Linked DNA regions of Pelodiscus sinensis. The main gene of each other region encodes a partner of the protein of the gene in region 2 in a complex. Links are inferred from orthologs where the notes say so. Each region holds a gene or a part of one and is shown on either strand. Other genes may lie near its edges. The genes, in order: ADAP1 and KIF13B.

Region 1 (15,956 bases), on a different chromosome or scaffold from region 2:
CTAACAAAATATGTAGATGGTATCATGAGCTTTCGTGGGCACAGCCCATTTCTTCAGATGACAAGAGTTTTGAGTTTAGGATGTGCAGACCCAAAATAAATAAGATAGAAGGGAGAGGGGGGGAAGGGAAAAAATGGAAGGGGGCCAGAAACAAGGAGCAGAAAATATCAAAGGGAAAACCAAAAAGGCAGAACTGGTAATCTATAAGCACCTAAAGATTGGATAGTTAAAAGGAGCAGATAAGGATCATAGGTTAGCAATTTGAGAGGAAGGGTACTAATGCAAGAATCTGTACAGACAAAGAGCTGTTGGCACCTTCATTGAATGTTAGGTTGATAATGTCCCAGCTATCCATTATCTCGATTGAGGAAGCCATCAGAATGAGAATTGACTTTGTGGATTAATTGTAATTCCAACGTCTGTGTCTTTGGCTAATAGAATTGGTTTGTGACAAGACAGCCACTTGAAGATCTTTTAAAGAGTGATTATGTAGATTGAAGGACCTGGTGCTACTCGAATGGAGTGATGCTGAAATCACTGATCCTTCCTGCAGCCCCATCTAGATGGAGTCCTGGGTTTTCATGGATACCCAGTGACTTCTCAGGGGCAGCGGTTTGCCTGGCAATGCAGCTTGCAGGAATGGGGCTGAAGATTGTTAATTTGCCACTTTATCACCCATTCCCAGTTTTTCTTTGCACTTTCATAGCCTGCTTCATCTTGGCAACACTTGACACACAAGAATCCATCCTCACTGTAGGGAACTGAAGGTTATTGTCCCTGTTCTACCAAGGGAGAAACTGAAGATTTGCTTCAGGTCACAGAAGGGAGTTAGTGTCAGGGCTGGGGTTAGAAGTCAGGCATGCCCCATCCTGTGTTCTACTCACTACAGTGGCACTCTCTGAAACACAGTCAACCTGTGGAACTCCTTGCCAGAGGAAGTTGTGAAAACCAGGACTTTAACAGGGTTCAAAAAAGAACTAGGTAAATTCATGGAGATTAGGTCCATCAATACTTATTAGCCAGGATGGGTAGGAATAGGGTCCCTCTGTTTGTCAGAAGCTGGGAATGGGCAACTGGGGATGGATCACTTGATGATCTTTTATTCTGCTGAAGAGAAGAGTGAGGAGGATTTGATAGCAGCCTTCAACTTCCCAAAGGGAGGTTCCAAAGAGGATGGAGAGAGGCTGTTCTCAGTATGACAGCTGGCAGAACAAGGAGCAATGGTCTCAAATTACAGTGGGGGAGGTCTAGGTAGGATGATAGGAGGATGGTGAAGTAATGGAATGGGTTACCTAGGGAGGTGATGGAATCTCCATCCCTAGAGGTTTTTAAGTCTCATCTCTGGCTGGGATGATTTAGTTGGGATTGGTCCTGCTTTGGGCAGAGGGCTGGACTCAATGACCTCCTGAGGTCTCTTCCAACCCTAGGATTCTATAGTTCTATGATTACCTGTTCTGTTCACGCCCTCTGAGACATCTGGCATTGGCCACTGTCAGAAGACAGGATACTGGGCAAGATGGACCTTTGGTCTGACCCAGTATGGCCATAGTTATGTTTTTATATTCACCCTTTGTCTACGGATGGAATTTAATAATTCAAGAAACAAGCACATCTTAAAAAGAGAACCTCCTGAGGTTTTATATGTTTAACAGGGATACCACAAGTTTTTGATTCACAAGTTTTGGAGGGGTAGCTGTGTTAGTCTATAACTGGAAAAAAACAACAACAGATAGTCTTGCAGCACCTTCGAGACTAACAAAAAATGTAGATGAGCGTTTGTGGGCACAACCCACTTCATCGGATAAATGGAGTCTAAGGGGTTGGTCCAGTTTTCAAATAAATAGTACAGAGAGGAAATGGGGGGAAGAGGAAGAAAAAAGGGGAAAGAAATTGTCAATTAGAGTGTCCATGCTAAATGAAGCTGATAAGAATACTTAGTACCCACTTTAAGTACCCTTTGTTTGTTTTGTATGTCATTAGGAAGTGGAATGTAGTGGGCCATTCAGCCAATGTCTTTGTTTAGACTTCTGTTGCAGGAATCAAACTTATAAATGAAATTCAGTTCTGTAGTTTCCCTGTGGAGCTGGCTTTTGAAATTGATTTGAAATAATACAGTGGCTCTGAGATCCATTAATGAGTGCCGAGGCAAGTTAAAATGTTCCCCAACAGGATCTGTGTGTTGCCTTTTCAGATATCTGATTTGTGTCCATTAATTCTTTCTCGTACAGACTGTCCAGTTTGGCCAGTATATATGGCAGAGGGACACTTGATGGCATAGATCACATTGGTGTATGTACAGTTATATGTAGTGGTTTAAGTGGTTAGGTCCTGTGATGATGTCGCCTGTATTGATGTGTGTATAAAGTTGGTACCGGGGTGGGTTCCTGGATAAGTACAATGGAGGCGTGCTGCGTGGTTATTAGATTCTTCTTTAGGTTAGGAGGTAGTCTCTAGGCAAGGATTGGCCTGTACCCCAAGCTCTGTGAGAGTGAGGGGTTATTTTCCCGGATAGGCTGTGGATTGTTGATAATGTGCTGGGGGTTTAAGTTGGGGGCTGTAGGTGATAACAAGTGGTGTCCTATTGTTTTCTTTGTTGGGCCTATCTTGAAGTAGCTGACATCTGGGTACTTGTCTGGCTCTGTCAATCCATTTTTTCACTTCTCCGGATGGGTATTTCAGTTTTAAGAATGCTTTCTATAAATCCTGAAGGTGCTTATCTCTGTCTGTGGGATTGGAGCAAATCCAGTTGTATCTTAGGGCCTGACTGTAAACAATTGATTGGAAAATGTGTCTTGGATAGAAGCTGGAGGCACGAAGGTAAGTGTAACAGTTGGAAGGTTTCTGGTATAAGATGGTGGCAATGTGGCCATCATATAATTGTACTATAATGTCAAGGAAGTGGATCTCTCGTGTGGACTGCTCCAGGCTAAGGTTGATGGTGGGGTGGAAGTTGTTGAAATTCCTGTGAAATTCTTCAAGGGTCTCCTTCCCATGGGTCCATATGATGAAATGTCATCAGTGTAGCATAAGTAGAATAAGGCTGTTAGGGGGCGAGAGCTGAGAAAACATTGTTCCAAGTCAGCCATAAAGATATTGGCATTTTGCGGGGCCATGCAAGTACTCATAGCTGTGCTGCTGACTTAAAGATATAAATTGTCTCCAAACTGGAAATAGTTGTGGGTGAGGACAAAGTCACAGAGCTCTGTAACCAGGTGTGCAGTGGCGTTAGCAGGGATAGTGTTCCGGACAGCCAGTAAATCCATCTTTGTGTGGAATGTTGGTGTAAAGAGCTTCTATGTCCATGATGGCCACGATGGTGTTTTCAGTCCTCATGAAGTTGGTGGTGTCTTGAAGGAACCTACGTGTGCTTGCAGCATAGGGTCTGAGGAGAGAGTCAATATAACCAGATTACCCTTCTGTAAATGTGCCAATACTTGAGATGATGGGTCATCCGGGATTTCCAGGTTTGGGTATCTTGGGTAGCAGATAAAAAACTCCTGGTTGGGGATTTGGGGGGGAGGAGGAGGTTTGTGTAGATTTGGTCCTGAGTTGTAGCAAGGAGCTTCTGGAGCAGTTGGTTTAGGGTTTTTTGGTATTCTTTAATGGGATCAGAAGAGAAGTCTGTAGAATCTGCTAGGGTATGTCTACACTACAACACTATTTTGAAATAACTAGCACTATTCCGAAATAACTTAGTCCATGTCTACACAGCAGGCAATTATTTTGAAATAGTGTCAAAATATTATCAAGCTGGAGGACTTCTTACTCTGACTCCTGTAACCCTCATTGTGTGAGGAGTAAGGGAAGTCGGTGGAAGAGTGCTCTATTTTAAAATAAGTGCTGTGTAGATGCTCCCTATTGCGAAATATGCTATTTCAAAATAAGATATGCAATTGATATAGCTCAATTTGTGTAGCTTATTTCGAGTTAAGCCCTTCAGTGTAGATGCACCCCTATTGATTCAGTTAGGATCAGTGGGAGGAACTGCTTTTATCCATTGGCTGATAAGGAAAACTGCTGTGGGGAGGAATGCCTGTCTTCTGCTCATCAGGAAGCTAACAATGTCCTTTCCAGAGGGCACAAAATTCCAGACACTTTTCCTTCTATCTAATTACTCTCTGCCTGAATTATGGATATTTCAGTTTGGGTTTGCTATACATGCAAACTGTTTACTTGTGTAATGGAGTGAATACTCTTTAGAATCACATACCAGCTTTGAGTATAATAACTTTCTACTTGCATAATCATAGTCTACATTGGCATGATCTCGCGCAAGAACTCTTTTGCGGATGAGTTCTTGTGCAAAAACTCTTCCAGAAGAGAGCGTCTACACTGGTATATGCCTTTACGCAAGAGACGTGCTTTTGCACAAGAGCATCTGTGTCAGTGTAGATGCTCTCTTGCGCAAGAAAGCTCTGATGGCCATTTTAACCATAAGGCTTTCTTGCACAAGAAATTCATGTTGCCTGTTTACACTGGCCTCTTGCGCAAAAACAGTTGCGCAAGAGGGCTTCTTCCTGAGTGGAAGCGTCAGAGTTCTTGCACAAGAAGCACTGATTTCATACATTAGAACGTCAGTGTACTTGCGCAAGAACTCGTGGCCAGTATAGACAGGCAGTAAGTTTTTGCGCAAAAGCATCCACTTTTGCGCAAGATCACACCAATGTAGACACAGCCATGGTGTTGATTTAGTCAGTGTAGGATCGGGGCCTTGGAGATTCTCTCTGTCTTTTCCAGTTATTATTGCTAATTTATTCTCTTTGTTTCAGCTAATCCTCTTAGATTCCCCACTTTACACATGTTCTAAATAATTCTCAATAACAGACCGATGGATTTTTATTTTGTAAAACAACTGCTCTTGGCTCTCACCGGGGCAGCTATGAAGAGATTTTTATGTCCAGTAATGCCTGAAAATAGACTTTCATCATGGAAAATGTTGACACAGCTGTAACTGTTTAACAGTGCAAGCTGACTCCTCCATAATAAAAAGAAAGCAGCTGAAATCCCTGAGAAGAAATAGCTGATGCTGGGGAGGAAAAGATGGCTTTTTTGGTCGTTTTGGTCCGGTATTTTCAGTGTCAGCCAAAAATTCCTATGCTACTTACAGAATTTCTCAGGCTACACTGCACCTCTCTTGCTCAAAAGCCTATGCAAATGAAGCATGGATTAGCATATTGCTGCACTCCATTTGCATAATTAATTAGGGGCCTTTTTTTGCTCAAGAGGTTTTTGTGCAAAAAGGAGCTGTGTGGACTGCTCCTTTTTGCGCAAAACCCCTCTCTTGCACAAGAGCCATTCTTCCTGAAAAAATGAGGGGCATTATTCATTTAAAAGAACGGTCTGACTAAAAACACAGACTGGCAACACAAAGACAGAAATACCATCAGTGTGAGAGCAGCATTGCCCTGAAGCCTGTGAGAAATTTGCAGGTGACTTCATGAGCAGATTTCCCAAGCTGGTACGCTCTCTGGCACAAGTGACTCATGGTAACACCTAGGAGGTGCACTGCCCCTCTATGCCCCTGCTAAAATTTTAATTGCAAAATAGGGTGCCCCCAGATGCTACCTCCCCATTTGGTTGTAACACCTCTCCCTACAAGCACCAGTCATCCCTGCTCTCTGGGCTGATCTTACACTTGTTGAAGTCATTGGAAAGGCTCTCACTCATCTTAAACATCTTTGGCTCAAAACCACAGGCAGCAGGATAGCAGGGCCTTCTCTTGCATGTGCATTTAGATCGCTCCTTATCTGTAAAGGTCATTGTGACTCAGGCCAGTAGATGACTGTCTTTGCCGTGAGGGACCTTGCTCTATGGAACTTGCTCCTCCCAGCACCCACCATAGATCACTCCTCCCCACATCTGCTGTTCGTGCTGTCACATTCTGTGCGGCAGGAGTAGCTCCTCCGAAAGCCATGGCACAAAAGGGCCAGATCCTTGGCTGCTGTCAATCAGCATAGCATTGTTGACGTTTACGAAGCTATTCTGATTGACTAAGGTTCTGCATCTGGCATAAATGAGGAGTACATAACTCTGCTGAAATCTATGGCATTAAGACAGCACAAATCAGGACTGAGGCCATGGAGTTATGCTAGTGTAGAATTGGTATAAGTGAAAAAGGATCAGGACCCTTTATTTCCAAAGCATTTTTACTAAGACTGCTTTGAGTCCCATATGACTTCAGCCCATCTCCTGCATCCTCTTCTTATGCTGGGCCCTTGTCCTCTCTCCTCACATGCACTTTTTGTTCTCCTCATTTAAACTTTGCAGTGGGGTTTTTACTACAAAGGGTTTCTTGCATTGTGGTAGGCTCTGCACTAACAATTATGTTATTATTAGATTTAAATAATGACAATTGCTCTCAGCCTTATCAGTCTTCCACACCCTTCATCCCCTCTTTCCTTTATGTGAGAGCTTGTTCTGATCATCTCCTACAGTCCCTGTTATATTTGATTTTATTACAAGATATAAATTTCTTTCCGCAGCCCTGGCACACAGCGTATAGAGAGGAATTGCCTAGCAACCAGAAGAACAAAAAATTAAGAGAATCAATAAGCCTCGATGGAAAGCTAAACAGGGACTTTAAAACAAAATCTTTTTTGTTGTTGTTTCTCCTCTGGTAATGACTTGCAATATCTCAGCTGCAGCATGAAGAGTTCATTGTGTGCAATGGATGCTTTTGGGGGCAAGAATGGCCAAGGGATTGGTCTACATCAAAATAAAAGAATGGATGAAAACCCGGCAACTGGATGTGGATTTGCATAATGCCTTCAGCCTGTAAACACACATATGAGTAATCTGAGTATTGACTTTAATGGAACTATTCACAGATGTGAGTATTTGCAGGGATGGGGCTAAGAATCTGTCTCAGGACAGTTCTGTTGTCATTTATGCTTGCATAAATCCAGATTAACTCCACTGAAGACAGTGGGTTTATTCCAGATTTATACCAGCATAACTAGGAAAAAAAGGTTCAGGGGGGTAGCTAAGTTAGTCTGTAACTAGAAAAAAGTTTAAAAACCGACACAAAGGCTCAGTGTTAAGGGGGTGACAGACTGACCTACAAGCAGGAAGCCTGATTCTGTAGATAATCCTACTATTGATTTTATCTGCACTACTTAACAGGAATGAGAGCTGCAAGATTGGATTTTTGGTTAGCATGATAGCTGTTTTTTTTCAAAACTAGATGGAAAAAGCAAGTTGTAATACAGAGGGTTGGCTCATGATGTCAATTTTCAGACATTAATGCAGTTAAACTTATCAGTCAAAATGGCAAGAAATTAAAGAAAATATTTTCCAAATTAAGGAGGAGTCCCATTGAAATCAAAGGTGCTACTTACAGGAGTGAAGTTTTAAACATGTGATTAAGTGATTGAAGCATCATGGTCATAATTTGGATTTAGTGGTGATTTTCTATTGGGTTATTTGAGTCCTGATTCTGAAAACATACTTGTTTACAAACATACATGCTTTACTTTAGGTGGAAGTCAAGTCAATAGGACTCCTCATCATAAAGTCAAACAGATAAGTAAGCTTTTCCAGGGTGAAAGCTTTGATTTTTTTATTTTTTTAGGGGATGGAGTATGAACAAATGGATCCACATCACAAAACCAAAAAGGGTTCCATAACCAAACTGAAATGCTAGGAATCAAAAATTACTTTGGCACAGTCATTTCTAGGCTATATATGATCTAGGAGCAACTGATTAACAGTTGAAAAGGAAGGATGAGCCAGTATTTAGCATGTTCACATAAGAAGTGGGAGACCTGGGTTTCTCCACAGCTGTGATGGGCAACGTAGGCTTGTCATAACCAAAACAGTCTCCCAGGATAGGGTAGTTTTGCTAACTGTGCTTGTGTACCTAGAATTTGCAGGGTGTGTGGATTGAACTGTAGCAACACTTTGATTGGATGCAGAGGGAACATATACTGTACCTCTTACAATCAGTGTTGTGTGTGATCAGTATGCACCTCACTTCACATGCCCTTGCTTTTCACATGTATGTCACTTTAGTAATACTGATAGGAAAAAAACTATGCAGACAGAAACTAGTGGAATTTGGAAACCCTGCACATGGGCTACACATAGAACCCTGATGGACCACATGTGGGCCTTGGGCCACAGATTGCCCATCACTATTCCACAGGCTTCCTAAGTGACCTTTGGTAAATCATTTAGGCCAGTGGTCTCCAACCTTTTTAAGCATGAGATCACTTATTGAATTTACGTGCAATCCAGGATCTACCTCAAACCCAAACACCCTTGACCAACCTCCATCCTGCCCCTGCTCACTCCATCCTCCCTCTCCCATCCTCACTCTATCAGGCTGGGGGCAGGAGTTTGGGGGGCAGGAGGAGTTCAGGACTGGGGCCAGGGTTCAGAATGCAGGCTCCAGCTGGGCACCGCTTACCACAGGTGGCTTCAGGGTGGTAGTGCAGGGGACCAAGGCAGGCTCATCCCCACCTTGTCCCTGCACCACTCCCAAAAGCAGCCAGCAAACTCTTATAGAATCATAGGGCTGGAAGAGACCTCAAGAGGTCATTGAGTCCAGCCCCCTGCCCAAAGCAGGACCAATCCCAACTAAATCATCCCAGCCAGGGCTTTGTCAAGCTGAGACTTAAAAACCTCTAGTGATGGAGATTCCACCAAACTCTCCATCTCTGCCTCCCCTCTGCTCTGTGGAGATGAGGTACAGGGTGGAGGGAGGGGCACCCTGACATCAGCACTCCCCCTTCCTCTTCTTCCTGTGCCCTGCACAGCAAACAGAAGGTTCCCAGGGGTGAGGGGCACCTCCAAGGCAGAGGGCAGGAGCAGCAGGGCACTGAGGGGCAGATGAAGTGCCAGCACTTGATAGGCTTTGGGCCAAACCTCTCAGGATCACCTGTCAAAGGTTCCAAGATCTACCAGTAGACCCTGATCTACTGGTTGGTGACCGCTGACTTAGACCTTTTTCTCCACAAGTATGTGTACACTACAGAGAGCAACTTTAGCTACATTAATTGCATAGCTGAAGTGGAAGCAGCTTAACTAGGTTTTTGGTGCTGTCTACACTGCAGGAAGTAGAAGAGAGAACACTTTTCCTTTGACTTCCCTTATTCCTTGTGAAAGCAGGGTTATGGCATCAACCTGGAATGCCCCTCTTGCTTCAAATTAGCTGTGTTAACTAGACCACTAATTGGAACCCTGTAAGATCGACAGGCAGCTTCGATCTTCCTCTGTATGGCTGTGTCCAGACTCAGGGTTTTTTTCGAAAAAAGTAGCCTTTTTTCGAAAAAACTTCACCTGCGTCTAGACTGCAGCCGTGTTCTTTTGAAATTAAATCGAAAGAACGCGGCTTTTCTTTCGACGGCGGTAAACCTAATTCCACGACGAAGAACGCCTTTTTTCGAAAGTGCTCTTTCGAAAAAAGGCATTCTTGAAAGCAAACAGGGCTTTTTAGAAAGAAAGCATCCAGACTCGCTGCTTTCTTTCGAAAAAGCAGCTTGCTTTTTCGAAAGTTCCGCGTGCTGTCTAGATGCTCTCTTTCGAAAGAGGCTTGCAGTCTAAACATAGCCTATGACAGATGTACCCCACCAGTACAGGAGGGATTATAACTTTTCTCTACCTCACAAGGGCGTTGTGGGGTAAATAGGTAAAGATTGGCAGGTGCTGGGATGTTGAGAACCAGGTAAGCACCTTGGCTAGATTGGCAAAGTGCTTTGAGACCTGTGCAGGGAAAGCGCCATTGCATTTTTTTTAAGGCTGATTTGTGTTTAAGGGGCTTAAGCCTCAGTCAGCAGAGGTCTCCGGGAAGCGGGCTACTCCTCTCCGCAGGCTCGGGGGCAAAAGGTGGGAGCAAGGTGACAGAGTGTCTCGTTGAGTGTTCCCCGCCCCTCCGCGCCACTCGCGCAGCCAGGGGGCTCCGTGGTGCTCGCCTGCAGGAGGGCGGGCTCGCCACTGGAGGTCGCGGGCGGACAAGGCTGGCCGGGAGTGGGCCACGCTCGGGCTCCGGTGCAAGGCAGAACCTTCCCCGCTGCCGCGGGAGGAATGCGGAACCAGCCCCGCGCAATCAGCTGCGGCGGCGGCGGCTGCCGGGGCAGGAGGCTGCTCAGAGCCCAGTGAGGAGGATGCGGGAGAAGGAGCCCTAAGCGCCCGGCGGCTGCCCAGGGGTCCTACTTACCCAGCGGAGCCGGGGCCAGATGAAGCAGCCCCCGGCGGCGAGGTAGCCTCTCCAGCGCCCCCAGCCCCATGAAGCGCATCTAGCGGAGGAGGAGAAGAGAAGCCAGAGCCGAGCCCGTCTCACTCGCACCGGCCCCATGGCGAAGGAGAAGCCCAAGAAGGCTTTGCAGGAGCTGCTCCAGAGACCGGGCAACCAGCTGTGCGCGGACTGCTCTGCCCCCGGTAAGGGCTGGGGCTCGGAGCCGGGGGGTCGCAGCGCTGCAGGACTGGAGCCAGCGCCGGAGTGAGCGGGGCAGGGACGGAGCATGCAGCCGGGCACCGGAATCTCTGGGCAGGCGCCGCCCTGGGGTCCAGGGCGGCACCTGCTCCTTTCCGCTAGCTGCCCGGGCAGGGTGGAGTCCGGTCCAAGTTTGCCTCGGCCAGGAGAGCCCCGCTTGCTGGGCGCTTGGCTGCGGCGAGCTCTGCCCCAGCCTGCAAGCCCTAGCCGGGCTGTTGCAAAACTGCGGGCTCTGGAGAAAGAGGAAACCGGCCGCGTGGGCACGGGGGTTCCCAGCCCCGGGGCAGGAGGAAGGTCTCCCCGGTGCTCAGCGCGGGGGTACCCCCGGCGGCACTTCCAAGGAGCGGGGCGATTCAAGCGTGGCCGCAGGCGAGGGGCGTGTCCCCGATCCGGCAGCTGGCCGGCCGCGCCGTGCTCGGGGGCCAGGAAAGAGAGGGTGCCCCGCTCCTTCGCACGGGGGTACCTCGCTGCCCCAGCGCTCTAGGGCTGACTTGGGAATGCTGATGTCATCCCCGGCCGCTCCAGCCGGGCTGTGTGCGCGAGCTGCAGTGCAGAGCGAGCCCTGCGCCCAGATGACAATGACACCTTGTTAATTTGCAAGGGTGGGCAGGCGGGGCGGAGGACAGGTGGCAGGGGCGAGGTCTGCAGGCCTAGGGCCGGGCGAGCTGGCCCTTGTCGGCCTGGCTGCTCTGCCTGCCCCTCCCTGCTCCTGTCCTTGTGCTCGCCCTGCAAACTGTGTGTGGCTTTTGTCGCCACCCCTGCTTGGCAGCCAAGGTTCCCTTCTCGGTAAATCAACAGACCTGGCGCACCCGGCGCCTTGCTGTGCCACTTCCTGCCAGCCAACCTTTGGCCACCGGCAGGCCTTTGCTGGAGACTTTGCCCCTGTCTTCCTGAGGCATAACTACCGATCATGAAATAATCAGGGGTGCTCCTTGCTGGGTGGTTGGGGTGGCGGGAGTTTCTGAGCCAGACACACACCCTTCCTTGTCCTTTGAATAGAGAAGTCACTGGGGACTGAGCAATTTGAATGCCCACTGAGAGCAGGGAAGCTCAGGTCTGTGTCTGTAAGTGTCTGCTCAGATCCCTCCGGGGAAAGCCCTGTACAGTTTAATAGAAAATAACCTTCCCGGGAGGGAGAGATAGCAAATAATATCCCTCTTGCAGTATTTGGTAGGTTGGCTTTAAAATATCAAACCTGCAGAAGGGCCATCTTAAGAATTACATTCTATAGGTTTTAGGACTTCTGCAGAATATTATTACCTTTCTATGGCACTTTGATGTCAATAGGACTCTACCAGCTGGGAAGGATCATTAGTTGAGGGTTTGTGTCCCTAATCTATATTGAAGATAAACTGGGATCTGCCAAGGATATTTTCAGTCACCTTGTACCTGGTTAGTGATGCCTAAGAATGCACTACTACCCAGTGTGCGTTGCTTTTCTGGCTGGTCGAACTCCACCTAGTTACTGCCATCTCTTACTATATAATCTTATTAACCCACCTTTTCAGTACTTGGCTGCACACAGCTTGGATCTGACTGCAGTTGGAATCTTCCTAAACTGTTTTTCCCCCCCAGAAGGAGCATTTACAGTCCAGGGCTGTTCAGATCAATAGAACACCTCTTACAGCATGTGTAATACGAAGCCCACCCAATAAAACAGGGAGCACCTACCCGGCATCAGCATGATTAAAATGAAACTTTGGCTCAGCAAAATCGTTTGTGTTGTGGTTAGATTGTTAAGGACTCCAAATGCAGGTTTTAAAGCTAGGAAGCCAAGGTCTGCAGTTGATCACATCTGGGTATAGAGATGTGTTCGGTGGGCCTGCGCCTTGTAAGCGAGCAAAATTTGGGTCAGTGTCTTGTGATGCAAGAGAAACTATTACTGTAGTTCATCTCCTTTTCTGCATGGTCTAACTGCTCTGTTTTCTCCTGCATTGTTCCCCAGTGCTAAAGCTCCATTTCTTTCTTGACCATTCTGCTCCAATTTTTTTAACCAATTATGCCCAGCTCTAGACTAGATATGCACGGTAACTGCACTGTAGTATATGCCGCTGACTGCGGTTCAGTAACTGCAAACCAGTATGCCTGTGCATGCTATGGGTTACTTAGGACAATTAAAGACAAGACACAGTCACACAGTGTGCATATGTGTTACATATAAAATCAGTGGACTAAATCTGGTTATTTGCTTTGGTGTAGGGGAAAGTAGGATTAAGTTTTCCAATCTAGGGCAAGGCAAAGAGCAGCTACGTGACCCTTGACTTTCACTGCCCTATGCTACATCCGGTTAAATAGCAATTGGTGTATTTCCCAGTAGCTCCAGTCATGACAGTTTCTCCTCTTTACAGGCTGCAGGGACACGCATGTCAGCCTAACCTTCCCTTCTCATCCTGTGTCCCACTTAGTTCAGGAATGAAGCTACATGCAGACCACAGGTTTTCCACCTGTGGTCCTGACCCATGTCTTAAGATTTCCAAAGGGGGCTGCATCTCAATTTAAAATGTAGAGGTCTGCAAATGAAAAAACAGGCTGAAAACTACTGGCCTAGTCCTAGGGAGTCTTCAGTGGAGAATTACTTTCCTTTTATCCTTTGGTATATATGGTTGTGACTATTTTCTTCCACTATTTGATCTGAGGAAGTGGGTCTGGCCCACGAAAGCTCATCATCTAATAAACCATCTTGTTAGTCTTTAAAGTGCTACATAGTCCTGTATTTTACTTTCCTTTTAGTGAGAGAGGTGGGGGAGAGAGAACACAACAACAAAACAGAAATAGGGAAGGAAAAAAAGAAAGAAGACAGGATGAGAATGGGAGAAAAGAGGTGAGAAAACAAACAAGACTGGAAGACTGGTGCCAATTGGCAGATGGTGCATGGGGACAGAGACACTAGGCATCCCTCTGCCAGTCCAGTGCAATCGGGGATTTGGAGAAACTGAAGGCTGGTGTTCTGCAGTATGGAGTGTATGTTTCTCTCACTAAAATACAAGGGATAATTCATGAGCCAATGAGAATCAGCAACAAGATGCAGTTATTTAGCTAAGGGATTCTTACAATGGGGTAAATAATAGAGCTGTTTGGAAAAACAAAACAAAATAGCTACTGTTTTCAAATGATTTTCATTCCATTTGTGCAGAAAGTGGCTGACTCTTCACTTTCTGAAATTTTCCTCAGAATCTTTTTTTTAAAGAAATTGGTGATTTTTTGAATGTTACATTTTTGCCATTTTGTGAAAAAACTCTCCCTTATCGTTGATTTTGTGTTGCAGTAGCATCCCAGAACCCTCCTGGTGCTAGGTGCTTTACAAACGCTGAACAAAGAGATGCCTCCTGCCGAAGAGTTTGCAATCTAACCTCTCCTCCTGACTAAGTTGTACAACTTGAGGCTATATCTACACTGCAGGCTTCTTGTGCAAGAAGCTTTTCGGAAAAGCAATGCGCTTTTGCGCAAGAGAGTGTCCAGACTGCATGGAAACTCTCTCGCAAGAAAGCTCTGATTGTCATTAACAGAATGGCCACCAGGGCACCTGTGCTTGTTTTGATAGGCTGTTTTTGAGCAAAACCCCCCTGCTGCCCATCCCCCCCACCTTTTCGCGCAAAAACTCTTGCGCAAAAAGGACTTATTCCTCGTAGAAAGAGGAATACCTATACCACAAAAACCACTCTTTTCTGTCAATTCTCTGTAAATTTTCTTGTGCAAAAATGCGCTTGAGGTGTGAACACTCTGTGAGTTTTTGTGCAAAAACTTTGTAGTGTAAACGTAACCTAACAGTGCAGTGAAAAAATCAGCCCACAGAATAGTACATGAGCAAACAAAACTAATTTGAAATAAGTACCTTTCTTCCCAGGCTGCACTTCCCATTTCTCCCCTTATCCCTGCCCCTCCAGCCGCTTTCTCTGACTGCTTAAATTAACTGCCCCTTCCAAGCCTTATGGCACATTAGAGATCAAAACCCAAAGACAGGAAAACAAAAGAGAAAACTATTTTTTCTCTTGCAGTTTTTGAAGAGCATATTTTTTTTTTAAAAAAAGGTTTTAGTAAAAATCTAATTTTTTTTGTAGAAGTTTTTTTTCCAGAAAGAGACATTTTGACTAAGTGCTTTCTGTCCAAGAATTCCAACCTGCTGTAGTGAACAATAAGAGCACATTATCCAAGTCTTTGAGGCTGAATTACAATGCACAAACCATTGTAATAAAATGTACAGGCAGTCCCTGAGTTACGCGGATCCGACTTATGTCGGATCCCCAGTTACGAACGGGGTTTGCTGCCCGTCTCCCTGGTCTGCTGGAGACCAGCAGACCAGGGAGATGGGGAGCAAAGCCTCTGAGGACGCTGGCAGCGGGACAGCCGTGGCGCGTCTGGGCTGTCCGCTGCCCGCGTGCTCCGCGGCTTTGCTCCCCGTCTCCCTTTGCTCCCCGTCTCCCTGCTGGTCTCCAGCAGACCAGGGAGATGCGGAGCAAAGCCTCGGAGGACCCGGGTGGCGGGACCGTGGTGCATCTTGGTCCGCCGCCCGCTGCCCGCGTCTCCCTGGTCTGCTGGGGAGGGGGGGAAGGCGCAGCTAGTACGCCCACATCCCCCCCCCAACAGACCAGGCTTTTCTCCGGACACCTGTGGTAGAGCAGCTGGGGCGCTGCCGGTTGGTCCCGCAGCGCCGCTCTGGGTGCTACTGGACCAACCCGGCAGCACCCCAGCTGCTCTGCCCCAGGCGTCCTGATTCAGCCGCTGCTGGTCAGTTTCAGCAGCGGCTGAATCAGGACGCCTGGGGCAGAGAAGCTGGGGTGCTGGTGGGTTGGTCCAGTAGCGCCGAGGAGCGGCGCTACTGGAGCAACCCAGCAGCACCCCAGCTGCTCTGCCCCAGGTGTCCCCAAGTCAGCCGCTGCTGAAACTGACCAGCGCTGACTACAGGAAGCCCGAGGCAGAGTTGCTCTGCCCCGGGCTTCCTGGAATCAGCCGCTGATCAGTTTCAGCAGCAGCTGACTTGGGGACGCCTGGGGTTCTTAAGTTGAATCTGTATGTAAGTCGGAACTGGCGTCCAGATTCAGCCTGTTGAAACTGATCAGAGGCTGATTCCAGGAAGCCCGGGGCAGAGCAACTCTGCCTCTGGCTTCCTGTAGTCAGCCGCTGGTCAGTTTCAGCAGCGGCTGAATCTGGACGCCAGTTCCGACTTACATACAGATTCAACTTAAGAACAAACCTACAGTCCCTATCTTGTACGTAACCCGGGGACTGCCTGTACTTGGAACGCAGGGCCCTGAATCTCACACACTGCAGGACTCTTTGTTGGATTGCATCTCTCATTGGGTGGAAGCCAGGTTGCAACAAGTCTATTTCACTGGAACAAGGTGTTTGTCATCAGGGAAGGCAGCACGGATTATACAGGTCTGATGGCACAGTGAATAATCTCTCCTAATGGCTGCTGTTCAAGCAATGTCTTACCGTAGACTCATAGAATACTAGGACTGGAAGGGACCTCGAGAGGTCATCGAGTCCAGTCCCCTGCCCTCATGGCAGGACCAAATACTGTCTA
Region 2 (16,185 bases):
ACATTGCACTTAAACTGACAAGTGATCTTGTGGTTCAAAAGGTTGGAGACCACTGTTCTATGCCATCACTTCCTCTAGCTACCAAGCTCCTCACTAGCCACACAATAAAACAGACATATTATTAAACCTCAGTGCCAGAGATATTCTAGTGTGGCTGATTTATTCTGATTTAACAGCACTTATTCTTTTCCAAGCAAAAATGGAGTTACAGTCTTATCGAAGGCAATAGGAGACTTCTTCCAGGGAAATATCCATTACCACGGTACCACTTTGGCAGCTCCCTTTGCTGCTGCAGCAGTTCCACACCCCTCATCGGGGGCAGGCTGGCCCTAGTACAAGGTGAGCTTCCAGTTACAGATGTCATGCAAGTTGCCTGCACTGAGACACCCGCAGAATCAAGATCAACTGCTAGAAACACTTTAATGTAAAACTTGTGGGCACAGATAAACTTAGAGAGGTGCACTTCTAGACAAGCAGGGTGACAGACACCCTCTGGAAGTAGCAGGCCGAATGGTGTGGGTAATAAAACGTTTAGCGTGTGGGAATACTCTCCTCCAGTACTGAACCAGGTTTTGGTAGAAGTGAAAGAAGACTCACCAACAGGTAGAGCTGTGATAGGGTGAAATGGGAGCAATATGATGATACTATATCTTGAAAATCCACTTTTACAAGGCCTAAAGTGAGCAACTAATATTAATTATTTATGTATTCATGACAGATACCAATCATATTGCTTAAATCACTTCCAAATGATGTTCAGATACTATGATAAAACTGAATAAGAACCTGAACAGAATACACTCACTTGTGTGTTAAAAACCCTTAGTTGCACAATCAAGACACGTTCATGGCTAAACTAACCATGACTAACTGCTACTTCCACTCCCTTTGTGTCACCTTCCCTCTTTGCAAAACATCGCAAATGTAGACTGTAAACTCTTTGAGGCAAGAATCATTTGTTTCAAGTTATTCTGTGAAGCACCTAGAACACTTCTGGATACTGCAAAAATAACGCAGTATCATGTTCCTTCCATTTTTCCCCCCTCAATGAATAAATTTGTATTTTTATCACCAAAAAATAAGAAAAAACCTGGGCTCATCAGTTAACCTTCACAGTTACATGCAAGCCTCCCCTGTGCGCCGTCACCCCCAATACCGCTGTTACTGCATTTCAAAGGCAAAAGCGCCGCGTGGAGCCCAGGGTCAGATGGGGACTTCCCCCGGTGACCCCGGGCTCCGTGCAGCACTGCCACTCTGAAACACTGCGAGGAGCCTGATGCTGGGCTCCCTGTGGCATTTCAAAGCAGCAGCGTCCCATGGAGCCCAGGGTCAGCAGGGGAGTCCCCAGCTGATCCTGGGCTCCACACAGCGCTGCTGCTTTGAAATGCCGCATGCAGCCTGGGGTCACCCGAGCTACACGCAGCGTTTCAAAGTTGCAGCGGCATGTGGAGCCCAGAGTCTGACCCCAAAGCTCCACCCAGAACTGCCGCTTTGAAGTACCCCTCCGCTTCCCCCACCTTGCTGTCTCTATCTGATAGAGGGAGCAAGGTGGGGAGGGGAGTGACTAGTCGACTATTCTGTCGACTATCCGATAAGCGTTTGCTTATCGGATAGTCAACTAGTCCTTCACATCCCTACTATGAATAAGCACAAAACAGAAAGTCATGGTGTGCGGGTGATAGGACTAGGTTTTATTTGTTTGTAGGATGATCGTTGCAATTAATCTAAAGTAACCCAACCACATAATTGTTCCTTCTAATGCACTGAAGCAGCAGTAAAGAGCAAAATAGTAGTTTTGGTCTGAAAGATCTACCGGGCACATTTTGGAAACTCCTCTAATACAGACTTCTTCCTTCATGCACTGACAGTCAGCTTGCCTATTGTTATTATAAGTACTGTCAGTTTAACGAAGTTCATACTCGTGCTCCGCAGTTGTGACATGTCACATTTTCTTGGCCTGGCTGGCTAGTAATTGCAGTCCACAATTTTTAATAAGCAGCTCATTCCTCACAAGCAACTTAATCCTCACAATTAATAAATCGGTTGCATTTCTAGTGCAAAGCACAAAATGGAGCAAAAAATTATCTCGGCTCAATCCAGCCTTGAAGAGGAAGTCTGTGTGGAGCCAATTGTCCTTCTCTAGCCCATGTGATTAAAGGGCAATGAAGTGCTTCCTTCTGGGGCTCTCCAGCCACTCAGGGTCTCAGCGAAACTGAGCAAGATCAGTTTGAGAAGTACATTCAGCAAGCTTGTAAGCAAGATGGGACAGTTCCTCAAAACCACATCTCCTCAGGAAAAAGGAAGGAAAACTCCCTGACAGCAGTGTTACCCTATACTGTACATGCTGTCTGTTGATTGTTAAAGATATTGTAAAGCCACCCTCTATTCTGGAGATCATGCAAACTGATTGGCATACGTTAGCAATGACTGGTTCATCTCAGAGCCTCAAGAAACAATTACACATCATTCAGAGTACTGGAAGGTGAAATTATGTGCATTTAGGTGACTATCTAACCTACCTTGAAGGTAGTCCTATATGATAGCCACATTTTAATGCTAAAAAAGGTAGCTGGAATTTAGCTTTCAAGTAGATCACATTCATATGACCTGAATTCTGGTTTATTTACAATAGGTAAATACAATGTGCTATCATGGAATGAGGAATGTAAAGGGTTAACTGGTTACCCAGTAAGCACTGCCAGCATACTTACTGGGGTAACTAGTTAACCGTAATAGGGTTAACCATAACTATACTGGGGTAACTAGTTAGCCAGTGCCTGGCCAGGACAGCTCCCCACCTGTGGCACATGATAGGTGGGGGGGCTGCTCCAGCCTGGCCAGACCCACCACACCGAGCTACACGGAAGGGGTCGATCCAGCAGCCCTCAGCCCATGACGCCACATGGCGAACCAGTTAACCGGTTAAACATATAGTTTAACCAGTTAACATTTAAAGGGGGATTTTACATCTCTAGATGGAATCCTGTTTTATTTTAGCATTTCATCTAAGTAAGAAAGAAGAGTTTAGTATTTACCTAGTTTAAGATTTTCCATACTTCCCATCAGCATGGTATCCAAACTAAAGAGGTTAGTCTTAAAGCCAAATTATTCGGAGACTGTCTTTTTATGCAGGCACTATATATATGCATTTTGCCATAGAGGCTGAATCTCCCTGATGTGGCACCCTCAGGACCTGATATGTCCCAGACCAAGGAAGGTCAATCAATGCTCAGGCCGTCTAGGGCTCCATTCTTCACAGGTTTGGTAAAGCTCCAGATTCGAGCCAAGCAGTCAATCAGCTGCCACTTGTTTCAGCGAAGGTAGACTATTACCAGGATATAGTAATCTGCTGACTACTTTTTGCAAACTATGAAGGCTGCTTAAAAATTACACTCAAATCTTAAAGCAATGGTGTTTACTCTCCCGCAGACAACCAGAAACCAGTTTTAACAGTGTTTACGCTGAAGACTATAGCTGATCACGTGTTGACCTCAAATGGATCAAGTAAACATCAAGCTCAAACATCAAGGTAATCTCATAAAAACTAGGCTTAAGAGCAGTGTTCTCTGTAAATTGAGCACTTGGGTGGACACCCAGGAGAGATTCAAATGCCACCCCGCTGATTTGCAGAGCGCCCACAGCTGGCAGCATGAGTGTCCTCTGGTGGTGCACATCTGTACGTGCTTTGGTGCACATAAAATGTATTCCACACAGTGGATGGAAAAAATTAGAGGTAACATTGCTTAAGAGCACATTTACTTTATTTAACACATTATTTTCCTTTGCAGTACACACATTTGACTCAGCTGTGACTGCTCAGAGTTAAGGCTATGATTAAGTCAGGGAGGTCACGGAAGTTATGGAATCCGTGCCATCTTGTGCCCCAGGCTGGAGCTGTCGGCAGGCAGCCCAGCAGCTCTCAGCTCCTAGCCACTACATAGCACAGGGATCTCAGAGCTCCAAGCCCTCCCATAGCAGCCCAGCCATGGTGGGCAAGGCCCATAACCCCTAGTACCTGTGGGTACTAGACCCTCCCCTTCCTCCTCATTTTGTCTGGCATATTTTAGTAAAAAAATCACAGACATGTTATAGGCTTCTGTGATTTTTTGTTTATTTCCAGAGACCTGTCTGTGATTTTTAGTGTAAATATCTGTGACAAAATATGAGCCTTACTCAGGATTACTGTTTCTCTTTCAGAGTAAATGCTAAGCACACCCAAGGTGTTACAAACATTTCTCGGTTATGCAATTGTATTTTAAGCAAGCTGAAACAACCTAGAACCACATGCTTTATCTGTGTGTCACTGCATAGTTTTCCAGAGCGAGCCACAAATGTATTATTGTTTACACTATGGGAGTTAAATATACTGTAACTATTCACTTTTAAAAGGATAATGGAGAGTAACAACTCTCAGATACATCAGTTGTTTGTCTGTAATGCCTTCCATCCAGAACAATTCAGAAACAATATATTCATAACATCGTGGAAATGCAACCACCTCTAAAGTGCATGGCAACAAAAAGTTGGTATACAGCACACTGTATAATAGTGGGAAATGTACAGCAGGGACACCAGTGTTTCCTCTGAGCTGATAGCTTGGGCCACCAAGGTGAGTTTCAAATGTCGCCCAGCAGATTAGCAGAGCGCCCAGGGTCAACAGCATACATTTGACCAGTGGTGCACATCTGCACATGCCTCTGTACATAACAAAATTTATTCTGCTCATGGATGGAAAAAGTTCTTGGGAACACAGCAGGACACTCAGGAAAATTCCTTCTTTTGAAAAGAAGGCATTAACATACAAGTTAGCACAAGAATCCTTTTTCTTACTTTCAACAAATTGGACTGGACTACTAGTACCGTAGGTAAAATGGTATTCAGCACATAGAGCCTTCTTCTTCTTCTGCAGAGAAGCTATTACTACTTATTTATTCAATGCCTAAAAGTGTAAGCACAGGTTGAACCTTTCTAGTCCAGCATCCTCCAGACCTGACTGATGCCAAACCAGAGAATTTGCCAGACCATGGAAGGTCAATATTAGCAGCGTTATCAACATTTCCACTTACTGGGTTCTTAGAAGACAATTGGGGTAAATTAGAGCTAAACAACAGCACAGAACACAGAGTCAAGTCTGGTCGCTATAAGTGAACTTTATGGGACCGCGGGAAACTTGGCCACAGCCATGATAAGAGAACATCTGACTACCTAAAATTATGCTGGACTACGGATGTCCGACCAGAGTGTGCTCGATTACAGAGTTTCAATCTGTAGCTGATTTGCATGCCAATTTATAGGGCTACAGCAGAAAGTTCCCAGCCCTGAGGAAATTTACAGGCCAAAGATAACAATAGGTGCATACATCAATAATATTTCAAAGGTTAAGTATCTACAGTCAGTCAACACAGGTTTATATTGTAAAGTCTCTTATTATGGGGTCATACGCTGTAACACACAACGGAATTCAGACTATTTCTTGTTTCACAACCAAAAACTTCTCAAGAGTCATACCAATGTTATTAAAATTAAATACAAATTACAACATGGGTTTTTAAAAATCAATCCCTTGCCTTGAGGTCTAAGTGTTACCAGAAGATGATCCCTAAACAATCAGACTTCAAGGCTGTGTACACATCCCTCAACTGCAACATTACAAGGGACAACTGTCATTTACACAAACTTGGCATTACCTCATTGTTCATTACAGAGAGTTTCAGGAGCATCAGAGATGTTGTAGTGAGATACTAATTGGGTGTGTATCTATATTTGTCCTTAATTGCCTGAGCTTTTTTAAATTATCCATTTCCTTTTGTGCACTTGTTTCTCTACCAGCTGCAGTATCTGTCCTTTTCTGATTTTAAAAAACACAGTCACATAAAAGAAAAATACACTGACTGTAATTAATATACAATATCTAGGCAAGTTTTATTTTAAAAAAATCCTCTGTCAGTTCACACTTCATGTTCCAGCTGCTTTTACCCTCATAGTCCCTGGGTTTGGGGCACTTGGGGTCACGTTCACATGCAGGGTTGGCTGAATATGTGAGTCATTTGGTGGAAGGAAAAGCTGAAGGGGGGGAGAGAATGAGAGGAGAGGAAATTGGGAAGGAAGTGAAGAGACAAGGAAGGAGCCCCATTGTAAAATGGGTGCAAGGGGCGCGGGGCGGAAGGGATTATATGGAGACAGGAAAAAGAGAGAAGGGGGAAAGATTATGAAGGGAGACTCATAAAGGAGGGAAATGTGGGGTGGTAAAAGGGAGGGAATGAATGAATCAGAGAGAATTATGAGTAACTCCTCTGTGTGGAGGCAGCTTGAGCCTACTCACTCTCCACAGCAGCAGTGTCTGTTCCTCCCTCATTTTGGTACTACCTGCTACCAGCCTCCATGGTGGAAAAGGGTGGTAAATCCCTCCCCCCCCCCACCACACAGTGAGGGGAGGGGCTCATGCCACCGTCTCTGACGCTCACCAGCCCTTCAGTGAATAGTGGGGTAGGTGGGCTTCTCTTCAACCCCAGCAAGTGGTATTTGTTGCGGGGTGTCAATCCGTGTCCCCCACTCCCACCAGCGAGAGGTGTATGTGTGGGAGGGGGACGGTGTTGATCAGCATTTCCTTTCCCGGAGGGTGGCCGGAGGAAGGTCTCCTGCTCCCCTCAAGGGGTGTCAATCAGTCACTGTCTCTCCACCTTCCATGAAAGAAGGGAGGGTACTGGGGGTGTCAGTCAGATGCTACCTCTCCCCCCTCACCAAGGGAGTTGTTTGGGAGGTATTGGGTAGTCAGTGTCTCTCTCCCCTCATCAAGGGAGGGGAGGTTGGGGGGAGGGGTGGGAGGTCTAGTCAATCACTCATTCCCCCTCCCCCGCAGAAAGGAGGGGTGGTCCAGTTGGGAAGTGTCGCTCGTCTCCACCCTGGAAAGGAGCATGGGGGCCAGTGGGGCAGTGTCTCCCCCCAGAGAGGAGCGGGGAGGGGCCAGTGGGGCAGTGTCTCCCCCCAAAGAGGAGCGGGGAGGGGCCAGTGGGGCAGTGTCTCCCCCCGGAGAAGGGCAGGGGGGGCAGTGTCTCCCCCTGAAGAAGGGCAGGGGGGGGTAGTGGGGCAGTGTCTCCCCCCAGAGAGGAGCAGTGGGGCAATCTCTCCCCCAGAGAAGGGCGGGGGGGCAGTGTCTCCCCCCAGAGACGAGCGGGGGGCAGGCAGTGGGGCAGTGTCTCCCCCCAGAGAGGGGCGGGGGGGCAGTGGGGCAGTCTCTCCCCCAGAGAGGGGTGGGGGGGCAGTGGGGCAGTCTCTCCCCCAGAGAGGGGTGGGGGGGCAGTGGGGCAGTCTCTCCCCCAGGCGCGGGGGGGGAAGGGGGCAGTGTCTCTCCCCCAGGCGCGGGGGGGTGAGGGGGGCAGTGTCTCTCCCCCAGGCGCGGGGGGGGTGAGGGGGGCAGTGTCTCCCCCAGGCGCGGGGGGGGGTGAGGGGGGGCAGTGTCTCCCCCAGGCGCGGAGGGGGGCGAGGGGGGGCAGTGTCTCTCCCCCAGGCGCGGGGGGGGTGAGGGGGGCAGTGTCTCCCCCAGGCGCGGGGGGGGGTGAGGGGGGCAGTGTCTCCCCCAGGCGCGGGGGGGGGTGAGGGGGGCAGTGTCTCCCCAGAGGTGGGGGGGGCGGGCAGTGGGGCAGTGTCTCCCCCCGGAGAGGGGTGAGGGGGGGCAGTGTCTCCCCCAGGCGCGGGGGGGGGGTGAGGGGGGCAGTGTCTCCCCCAGGCGCGGGGGGGGGGTGAGGGGGGCAGTGTCTCCCCCAGGCGCGGGGGGGGTGAGGGGGGCAGTGTCTCCCCAGAGGCGGGGGGGGGCGGGGGGGGCAGTGTCTCCCCCCGGAGAGGGGCGGGGGGGGCAGTGTCTCTCCCCCAGGCGCGGGGGGGGGGGGCGGGGGGGCAGTGTCTCCCCGGGGGGGCGGGGCCGCACTCACCTCTCCTGTTCATGGGGCGGACCCGCACCGCCACCTTCACTTTGGAGTCCCCCATCCCGCCCGCCGGCCCGCTCGGCTTCCGTCCTCCGCCGCGGGCACGGGACACCCCGCCGGCAGGCCAGGGGGCGGGGCCGGCCACGCGGAGGGCGGAGCTCCGGGACGCCCTGCCTGAGGGACCGCCCCGCGGGACTCCCCTCCCCAGCACGCCACGCGGGGGCCGCGCGGGGCATGCTGGGAGACGTAGTCCCGGCCTGTGGCGCGTGGCATGTCGGGACATGTAGTTCCCTTGGGATGCAGGCGGGGATGCCCGTCCAGTGGCGGGGAGCACGTGGAGGCGGCCCAGCTGTGAGCTAGGGCAGCGTTTCTCAGCCAGGGGGCCAGTAGCCTTAGGGGTACCCGAGAGAAGTCTGGGGGGGGGGGAGAAAACTCCATTTTTGTTTTACGTTTTACCGCCTTTTATTATTTTTGTACGTTTTACCCCCAAAAATGTCATCGCCCGCCTGGCTACGATGAAGTTGTTTAAACAAACATGTTGCAATGGTAGAAAAAAAATTCGTGTGTCTGAAAACTATCCCTACTGGGGGTACTTATATTTTTTTAAAAAAAATGTATAAAAATGTATTAAAAAAAAGTTGAGCTACACTGAGCGAGGGTGATACAACAGGTAGGAGAAGGTCCCTTAGCGGGAGCAGGACTGAAGGAATTGGGGCACCAGGACCCCTCTTCCGTTCCCCATCTATAATGCGGAGAATGAAAGTCACCCTTCTTCATGGTCAATGGATAATACACCCTCTCCCCGAGTTACGAACGAGTTACGGACCAAACACTTGGCCGTAACTCAAAGTGGTGTTTGTAACTCGGACCTCATTGAGTTACATGGCGACCGCACTGTTCGTAAGCGCGGATAACGTTCGTAACTCAGGGACTGCATTTACGACCAGCTGTATCAGTGCCTGGTTCTGGGGGAAGCGCAGGTCTGAGGCCTCAGAACAAAACCCCTTTCTGAATTAAACGCAGATGTCTTCCGCCTATCTTTCCCTCAATTCGCTTTTCCCACACATGCAACACTCCCACTTCCATCAAGCAATAAACAATAAACCCTCTAAATTATTCAAGCTCTTTTGCCTACAGGCTATGATGGGGGGAAAAAGGCAGGGATAGACGTTTTTGTATTTCTTCTTAGACAGAAAAAGCCTTATTAGCACATACTTAAATAGACAGTGTTCTGTTCCAGGCTCTGGAAAACACAGAGCATCTAGGCTGGGGCCCTGGTGTCCAACACTCTAGCCACTAGCCACGTGTGGCTATTTGGCCATGTGAGTGTGATTAGTTGATGTGAACAATGTGGCTATTTTGCTGGTTGAGTGTGGCTAGTTTGCCATAGTAGTAGCCACTATAGTGGCTACTACTTCAGAACTGGTTGGACACCAGGGGTTTAGGGGTTCTCAAACTGGGTGTTAGAAGGGTACACCTCAGATGGTCACGGGGTTATTACGTGGGGAGGTCGCAAGCTGTCAACTTCCCCCCCAAACCTTATTTTGCCTCCAGCATTTATAATGGTGTTAAATAAAAAATGTGTTTTAATTCATTAGGGGGCATCTCACTCAGAGGTCAGAACTGCTGAATACTTTCCCCAGCACTAGAAGGGGAAGGTGGTGTGGTGTGTTGACACTATACACCTGCTTTCAGACTAATCACTTTCCCTCTGTTTATTTTGCTGAATAATGATGGTAACCACATCAAACTAGAAATCCACAGCTGCAGTATGTGGCTACCTTGTCATCCACCTCAAATCACCCTTCCCTATTCCTCTTTGTTGTAATGCCTAAAAACATGGCAATGGTTAGGCAGTTGCTCCTCAGAAACCACTGCCTCTTATGCTAACCACTGTTGTCTTGCTGTTTACTTGTACTCCCACGTATGTCTATATCCTTCTGTCATCTCATGTTTTACACGAGATTGTAAGCTCTTTAAAGCAAGGGCTGTCGTTTTGGTACAGGGACTAGCACCAGTCCCAGTTCATGAATAGAGTGTCTACTCACTATGAAAATGCAAATGATGATGATTATAACAATTAATATAACAATTTACATTTTAATCACTGTATTCCAATGCTTTATCACCTCATCTTCACTCCCTCCCAGCACCAGGAAACGTGCACGTTATAAAGTGCTTCCTATATGCTCTTTTTTACTAGTCCTACTTGTTTAGAAAAATTCTCCATTTGGGTACCAGCAAGGTACCAGTGAATCTTTCAGGGAGACTGGTAAAGTTTGAGTTTTCCATGCTGGGCACAGGACACCAGCCTTGGTAGGGGTGGGGTGGGTGGCAGTGACATCACAAAGGCCTGTCTCAGCGCCTCCACCATTTGGGGAAAGGTGATGGGGAGGTGGTGACCTCACCCGGAGACCCTGACATCAGCCAGGCAGGACAGAGGGGCAAGGTGGGGGCAACCTCAGAGACACCCCCTTATGGCTTTGTGATTGGCCCTCCCAGAGAGGTGAGATTGGAATTGCTCTGAGATTGCTCCCCTCTGGCGGTGACCTGGGCCATCCTTTGGGACGTCTGCTAAGAACGCCCCCTCCCACCTTCCATTGCCCAGAGTCTCAATGCTGATTGGCCGAGTGTTATGCATCAGCCCCAGGGAAAGGGGGGAGAAGGGGGGGCTTCCCCCTTCCTTACCGGTTTGACGCCGGACACGCTAGGCTTTCTAATCAAAGGCTTTTAATCCGGCTATGCTTGCCGCGCTATGCCTATCCCGCACAACGCGACCGTGGCCCCAATGACCACCCTTTTGGGAAAGGGTGAGAGGGAGGGGGTCCGGGCCCGCCCCCACTCCGGACCCCGACCCAGGGCCCTAAAGCCAGGACGCTCATCCTAGCTAGTAACGGGGGGGGTTTGCAAACCCTAAACTCCCCTGCTCTCGGGTTCCGCGGCCCCGCCCTGGGTCACTTCTCCCTCTTTCCCAAGTCCCTCATCCGTCCTCGCTGGCCCCCGGGGTTTTACCTCACCCAGGGGCGCAGTATCCAGTCCCCCCTGGCCCTTCGGGGGTCTTCCGATCTCCCTGCTCGCCTCCCTCTCCCTGGAAGGGTGGCCGGGGTTTTAAATCTCCCGCCCGAAGCAGGGAGATGACGTCTCCCCCCACGTCCTCTGTGCGCGCCGCCTGGCCCCGTCGCGGGGGTGGCGTCAGACCCCGCGCAGGGCTGGACGGACGCCGCTTCCCTGGGCGGCGCCTGCCGGCCGTCCCGAACCGTGCCTCTCGGCGATCGGGGCGAGCCCGTGTTGCGGCCGGCTCCGGGAGTGGCGGGGCGGCCTCGCCACACCGAGCAGGGAGCTATTGGCAGGGAGACGTTTTCTCGGGTTCCCAGCTGTGACCCACGGCTGCCCTTCCTTTGCAGGCTCCGCTCAAGGGCGTGTCAGACCCCAGGCAGGGACCCTGCGGGCAGAGTCCCCAGACACAGACAGGCTCCAATACAGCTTGGAGGTGAGCATGGTCCGGAGGGGTGGGGGCAGTTTTACCTCAGCACTGGGGGGAACTGGAAAGGGGAAACTGGAACGCCTTGTCCCAGCCTGTCCTCCTAGCCTGAGCCCCAGTGGGCCAGCCTTGGTCAGGGCAGAGCTATGCGGGTCCCTTCCTCCTCCAACCCCTCCCACATCCAACCCCTGGTGAGATCCAGGAATCAGATATTCCACCCGCAGCCCCATTGCTCAGCCCTGCGGATGGGGATGGGGCTCGCTGGCATGGCCTGGACATGGGTCCATTGATCCTAACCTGCCCTTCCCCCACAGCACGTCAACTCCTGTGCCAGGCCCAGAGTGTCCCAGGTGAGAGCCAAGGCTGTAAGGAGCCGCAGAGCCCGGTTCTAATTCACCATCCCCCTCCCTGGATTGTACGTAGGTGACCTCTTACTCCGGCCCCCTAACCCCAGGTGTAGGCAGGTGGCTCCGACAGGCTGTAGGACCTGCAGCTGCAGGGACCGTGGGGTGGGCGCATTCCCCCTGATTCCTGGGGGCACCCAAGGCTCTGACGGATCCTTCTTCTCTTGAAACAGGAGGACGTCACAGCCAAGGGGATGCGCCAGTTCCGCTCCATCCCACCCTCTCACCAGGTGCCTGTTGAGGTGTAGAGCCCCCCACGGGGCCAGAAGGGTTAGAAAGCAGGCCTAGGACACTGGGGTCCTGCCCCACCGCCAGGGTTCCCTGTAAGCCGGGTGCTTGTGTGGCCCCTCAGGAGAGTCCAACGCTGCCTGGCTGATTAGCAGAATACCAACAGCAAGGTTTAGTTCCAACTGGTGGTGCACATTCACACCTACCTCGGTGCAGAGAGAAATTATTCCACACATGGATATAAAAACTATTCACGTGGATGGAAAGGATGAGAGGAAACATTGCCCACTTCCCTGCTCCAGCTGGAAGAGGTGTTTCAAAGGGACCCTGCATGTGGGGTATAGTCCCACAGGCCAGCTCAGAACCCAAAGGGTTAAGCCAGGCACCGCGGGCCACAGCTGATTGATGGGTGACAGCAGCGGGGAGGATCAAAGGGCTGGGAAGTAGCCTGGCTAAAGAGGACTGAGGAGGCAGGAGGAAGGATCTCCGGTCAGCAGCCTGAGAAGAGCCATCCCGGGACACCTCGGCAGCAAGGGGCGAAGAGGCCAACAGACCAAGCCCGTGACAGGTGAGAGCACCGAGCGGATTTCCAGATCCCCGGGCAGGAGGAGCAGGCTGATCCCTGGCCACTGAACTGAGCGAGCTGGAGCCACGTCCTCCCGCTCAGGTGCCCAGGGGCTGCAACTTTGCCCTGACCCACCAGCCAGCTCGGAGCGGGAGAGACCAGAGAGCGACCAGAGAGTGAGGCTGGGCCTGAGGAGATGCAGAGGAAGATAGACTCATAGACTTTAAGGTCAGAAGGGACCATTATGATCATCTAGTCTGACCCCCTGCACAGTGCAGGCCACAGAATCTCACCCACCCCTCCCAGAACAATCCTCTCACCTCTATCTCAGATATTGAAGCCTTGAAATACTTTGAAGGCCCCAGGATGCAGAGAATCCTCCAGCTGTGATCGGCACCCCATGCTACAGAGAAAGGCGAAAAACCTCCAGGGCCTCTGCCAATCTACCCTGGAGGAAAATTCCTTCCCGACCCCAAATATGGCGATCAGCTAAACCCTGAGCATGTGGGCAAGACTCACCAGCCAGACACCCAGAAAGTTCTCTATAATAACTCCTATCATCCCTCCTGGCTGCAGGAGAGCCCCCAGCAGCCTTTGCCCACAGCCCCTTTGCTCTACCAGCTGGAGCATCGTGGGGACAGGCCTGTGGCCCTGTGCCCAGGAGAGGGGAGGGCCCCAGCCATCACACTAACCACCCACTTCATAGGGGGGCCCAGACCCATTTGTCCTCTGTTGGGGAGGCATGGTACACCCTGAGCCCTTCCCAGGAACCAGAGGGGAGATGCAGATCGTTCATTTTGTGGGGACCCTGGACTGCACAGTGTGGTACGCTGTGGGAATCTGGAATTCAACTGGTGAACCAGCCAGAAGGCAAAGGCCTCACTGAGCCTGGCTGATCCCAGACCTCCTCTTACCCGCATTGGCACTGCTCTGGGGGGAGCATCGGTAACCACAACCAGGCAGATTTGAACCTGGGTCCTCTGCAGCGGAGTATAGGAGCCGCTACCCTCTGAGCTAAAAGCCAGCTGGCTCCCAGCCGATGCTGTAGCTGTCTCTTGGTCTTCACTGTTGCTGTGGGCTAGATTCCACGTGCATTGCTCAGAAATCACACTAGGGCTATGTCTACACTGGCGCGATCTTGCTCCAGAGCTATGCAAATGAGGCTAAGCGTGGAATATCACCGAGCCTCATTTGGATATATAATGAGCCACCATTTTTGCGGAAGAGGCTCTTGCGCCAGAAGGAGCTGTCTACACGGCCCCTTCTTGTGCAAGAAAAACCCGCTTGCTCAATGCCCTTATTCCTGAAAATAATCAGCGTAGCTCAGAAGTCAGTGCCAGCGCCAGCAGCAGCACAGAATGGAGGCCGGAATGGGATCGTGTTGCCACCTTTCCTTCTGTGCTGCTGCCTTCTGAGCTGGGTGGCCACAGAGCCATGCCCTCTGGTGAGGTGCCCAGCTCAGATGGCAGCACTGCTGCCAGTAGCAGTGCAGAAGGAAGGGGGTTTAGCATGGTCTTACCACCCTTCCTTCTGTGCCGCTGGTGGTGGCATCTCTGCCTTCCAAGCTGGGCAGCCAGAGATACCGGGAGCCCAGCTGTGAAGTTAGTACCAGCAGCAGCAGCGCAGACGGAAGTGTAACATGCTATGGTGTTGCCACCTTGCCTTCTGCACCGCTGCTGGCTGGGGCACTGCTTGCCAGGCAGGGTGACTGACAGCAGCTGCCACTCCAGCCACCCAGCTCTGAATGCCAGAAGAAGTCATGGACATGGTGTCCTATTTCCAAAGTCCGTCTGGATGGAGATCTGAGGACTGAAGAAGAGATCATGGCCAGGAAAATCCAAACTCCGTGAACGACCTTCCTGCACTTGTCTTGACACTCCCTTTTGGGCTGGGACCCCCAGTGTGAGAAACGCTGCCCTAAGGGATTCCTTTATGACCCCGAGGGCCGACATGGCCAGGAAAACCCAGGTGCACAGCATGTGTCAAACCTCAGCATCCCTGGCGTTAAGTGGCCTGGTACTTGTTTGTACAGACTTGTGTATAAAGAAACTGTTACTTACCTAGGAATAAAATGTGTCCACATTCCGCTTGTATCAGCCAGATTTTATCCAAACTTCTGCTAACTCTGTAGTCGCCTGCGGGTTGCTGCCTCCTCAATTTCCTAACACAGCGAAAATTAATCTTAGCCTCATCGGTGCAAAATTCTTCATCCTGGGGGCACCGCCAACCTCAGGCGTAGCAGCATCAGGAGCCCAGTCAAAAAATCATGAGACTGGCTTAAAAACAATGAGATGAAAGAGAAAACTAAATAAACAAACACATGATCTATTTTGCGACTTTTTTTGTGCCTTTGCTTTCTGAGCTGGGAGGACATGCTCAGATCATGTGTTCAGCCTTTTCTCCGCAAACCTGAGGACTTGAAACACTTTTTACGTGAAAGCCGAGAGTTCAGCTACACTCCAAAGTCTATGCTGACATAGCTGTGCCATCACAGCCCCCTAGCTTAGATACAGACCACACTCAGTTTATGTCTACACTGCAGGCTTTTGCTGGCAGAAGGTATGCTAATGAAGTGCTCATTAGCATTTGTTATGCTGTCATTTGCATAACTCTGCCTATGCTTTTTGCACAAAAACAAGCAGTGTAGGTAGGTCCATTTTGCACAAAAAACCCTTTTTGTGCAAGATCTGTATACCTCCTTTTTGAGGCCTAAGGGATCTTGTGCAAAAGGTTTTTTTTTTTGCACAAAACGGACCCATCTACACCGCTTGTTTTTGAGCAAAAAGCATCGGCAGAGATATGCAAATGACAGTGCGACAAATGCTAATGAGTGCTTCATTAGCATACTCTCTGCCGGCAAAAGCCTGCAGAGTAGATATAGCCTCAGAGGAGTTTTTCTGTTGGCAAAACAACACCACTTGCCCCAACAGAGCCTTCTGTAAAAACTTAACTCCCAATTTTTACAAAATTGAACTAGTGTGTCCCCACTATGGGGAAGCCTCGAAATCAGTCTGGGCAAGCTCCGTTAATGTGGACATGCTACCTTGACTTAGAGCCCCAGGAAGCACTGGAGAGTAATTATTTCGAATTACTCTGGGATAGGGATGTAAGCGACTAGCTGACTAGTCGACTACCTGATAAGCAAATACTTATCGGGTAGTCGAGTAGGAACTCCACCCCCTTGCTGCCAGTATCAGAGAGAGGCAGCAAGGGGGGAGTAGGAGCTGGTGCTGGGAGAGCCGTCTTCCAAGCCGGTTCCTTTGGTATATATGGTCATGCCAATTCTCTTCCAGAATATGATCTGAAGAAGTGAGTCTGGCCCACGAAAGCTCATCACCTATTAAACCATCTTGTTAGTCTTTAAAGTGCTACATAGTTTTTCCTTTTGTTTAGGAGGAGTTCTTGAGCAGACAGACAGACATGCACAAATGCACAAACAAATTCTCTCAGATAACTGGCTAGATTGAAACACTAAATCCAAACACCCCTACATTTAGACAGTGGGTGGATTGATAGTCAGACCTGGGAGTGTCCTAGCAACAGGGATGTTATCTTCATTGGTAAAGTTACAGGATTTACTAAGGA

Evidence for each region.
Region 1: the proteins of KIF13B (region 2) and ADAP1 are in contact, whole or in part, in a crystal structure (PDB 3MDB), measured with the Homo sapiens proteins. The link is inferred for Pelodiscus sinensis from reciprocal best matches to the Homo sapiens genes KIF13B and ADAP1. Residues at the interface, in NP_056069.2 of Homo sapiens: Val451, Asn452, Leu453, Asn454, Ala455, Asp456, Pro457, Leu463, Arg512, Phe514, Asn516, Gly517, Arg531, Leu533, Asn536, Asn537, Phe539; in NP_006860.2 of Homo sapiens: Trp137, Asn143, Gly144, Gln145, Phe146, Leu147, Pro186, Ala187, Lys188, Ile189, Gly190, His191, Pro192, His193, Tyr211, Glu213.

Annotation. Positions count from the first base shown.
Region 1 is NC_134726.1:26,492,604-26,508,559, reverse strand, and holds the start of ADAP1 (arf-GAP with dual PH domain-containing protein 1), read left to right. Parts: upstream 1-9,920; 5' UTR 9,921-10,292; coding exon 10,293-10,377; intron 10,378-15,956. UniProt on the Homo sapiens protein: GTPase-activating protein for the ADP ribosylation factor family. Binds phosphatidylinositol 3,4,5-trisphosphate (PtdInsP3) and inositol 1,3,4,5-tetrakisphosphate (InsP4). Regulates the incorporation of CD63 and CD9 into multivesicular bodies.
Region 2 is NC_134713.1:4,381,314-4,397,498, reverse strand, and holds the start of KIF13B (kinesin-like protein KIF13B), read right to left. Parts: upstream 8,084-16,185; 5' UTR 7,984-8,083; coding exon 7,929-7,983; intron 1-7,928. UniProt on the Homo sapiens protein: Involved in reorganization of the cortical cytoskeleton. Regulates axon formation by promoting the formation of extra axons. May be functionally important for the intracellular trafficking of MAGUKs and associated protein complexes.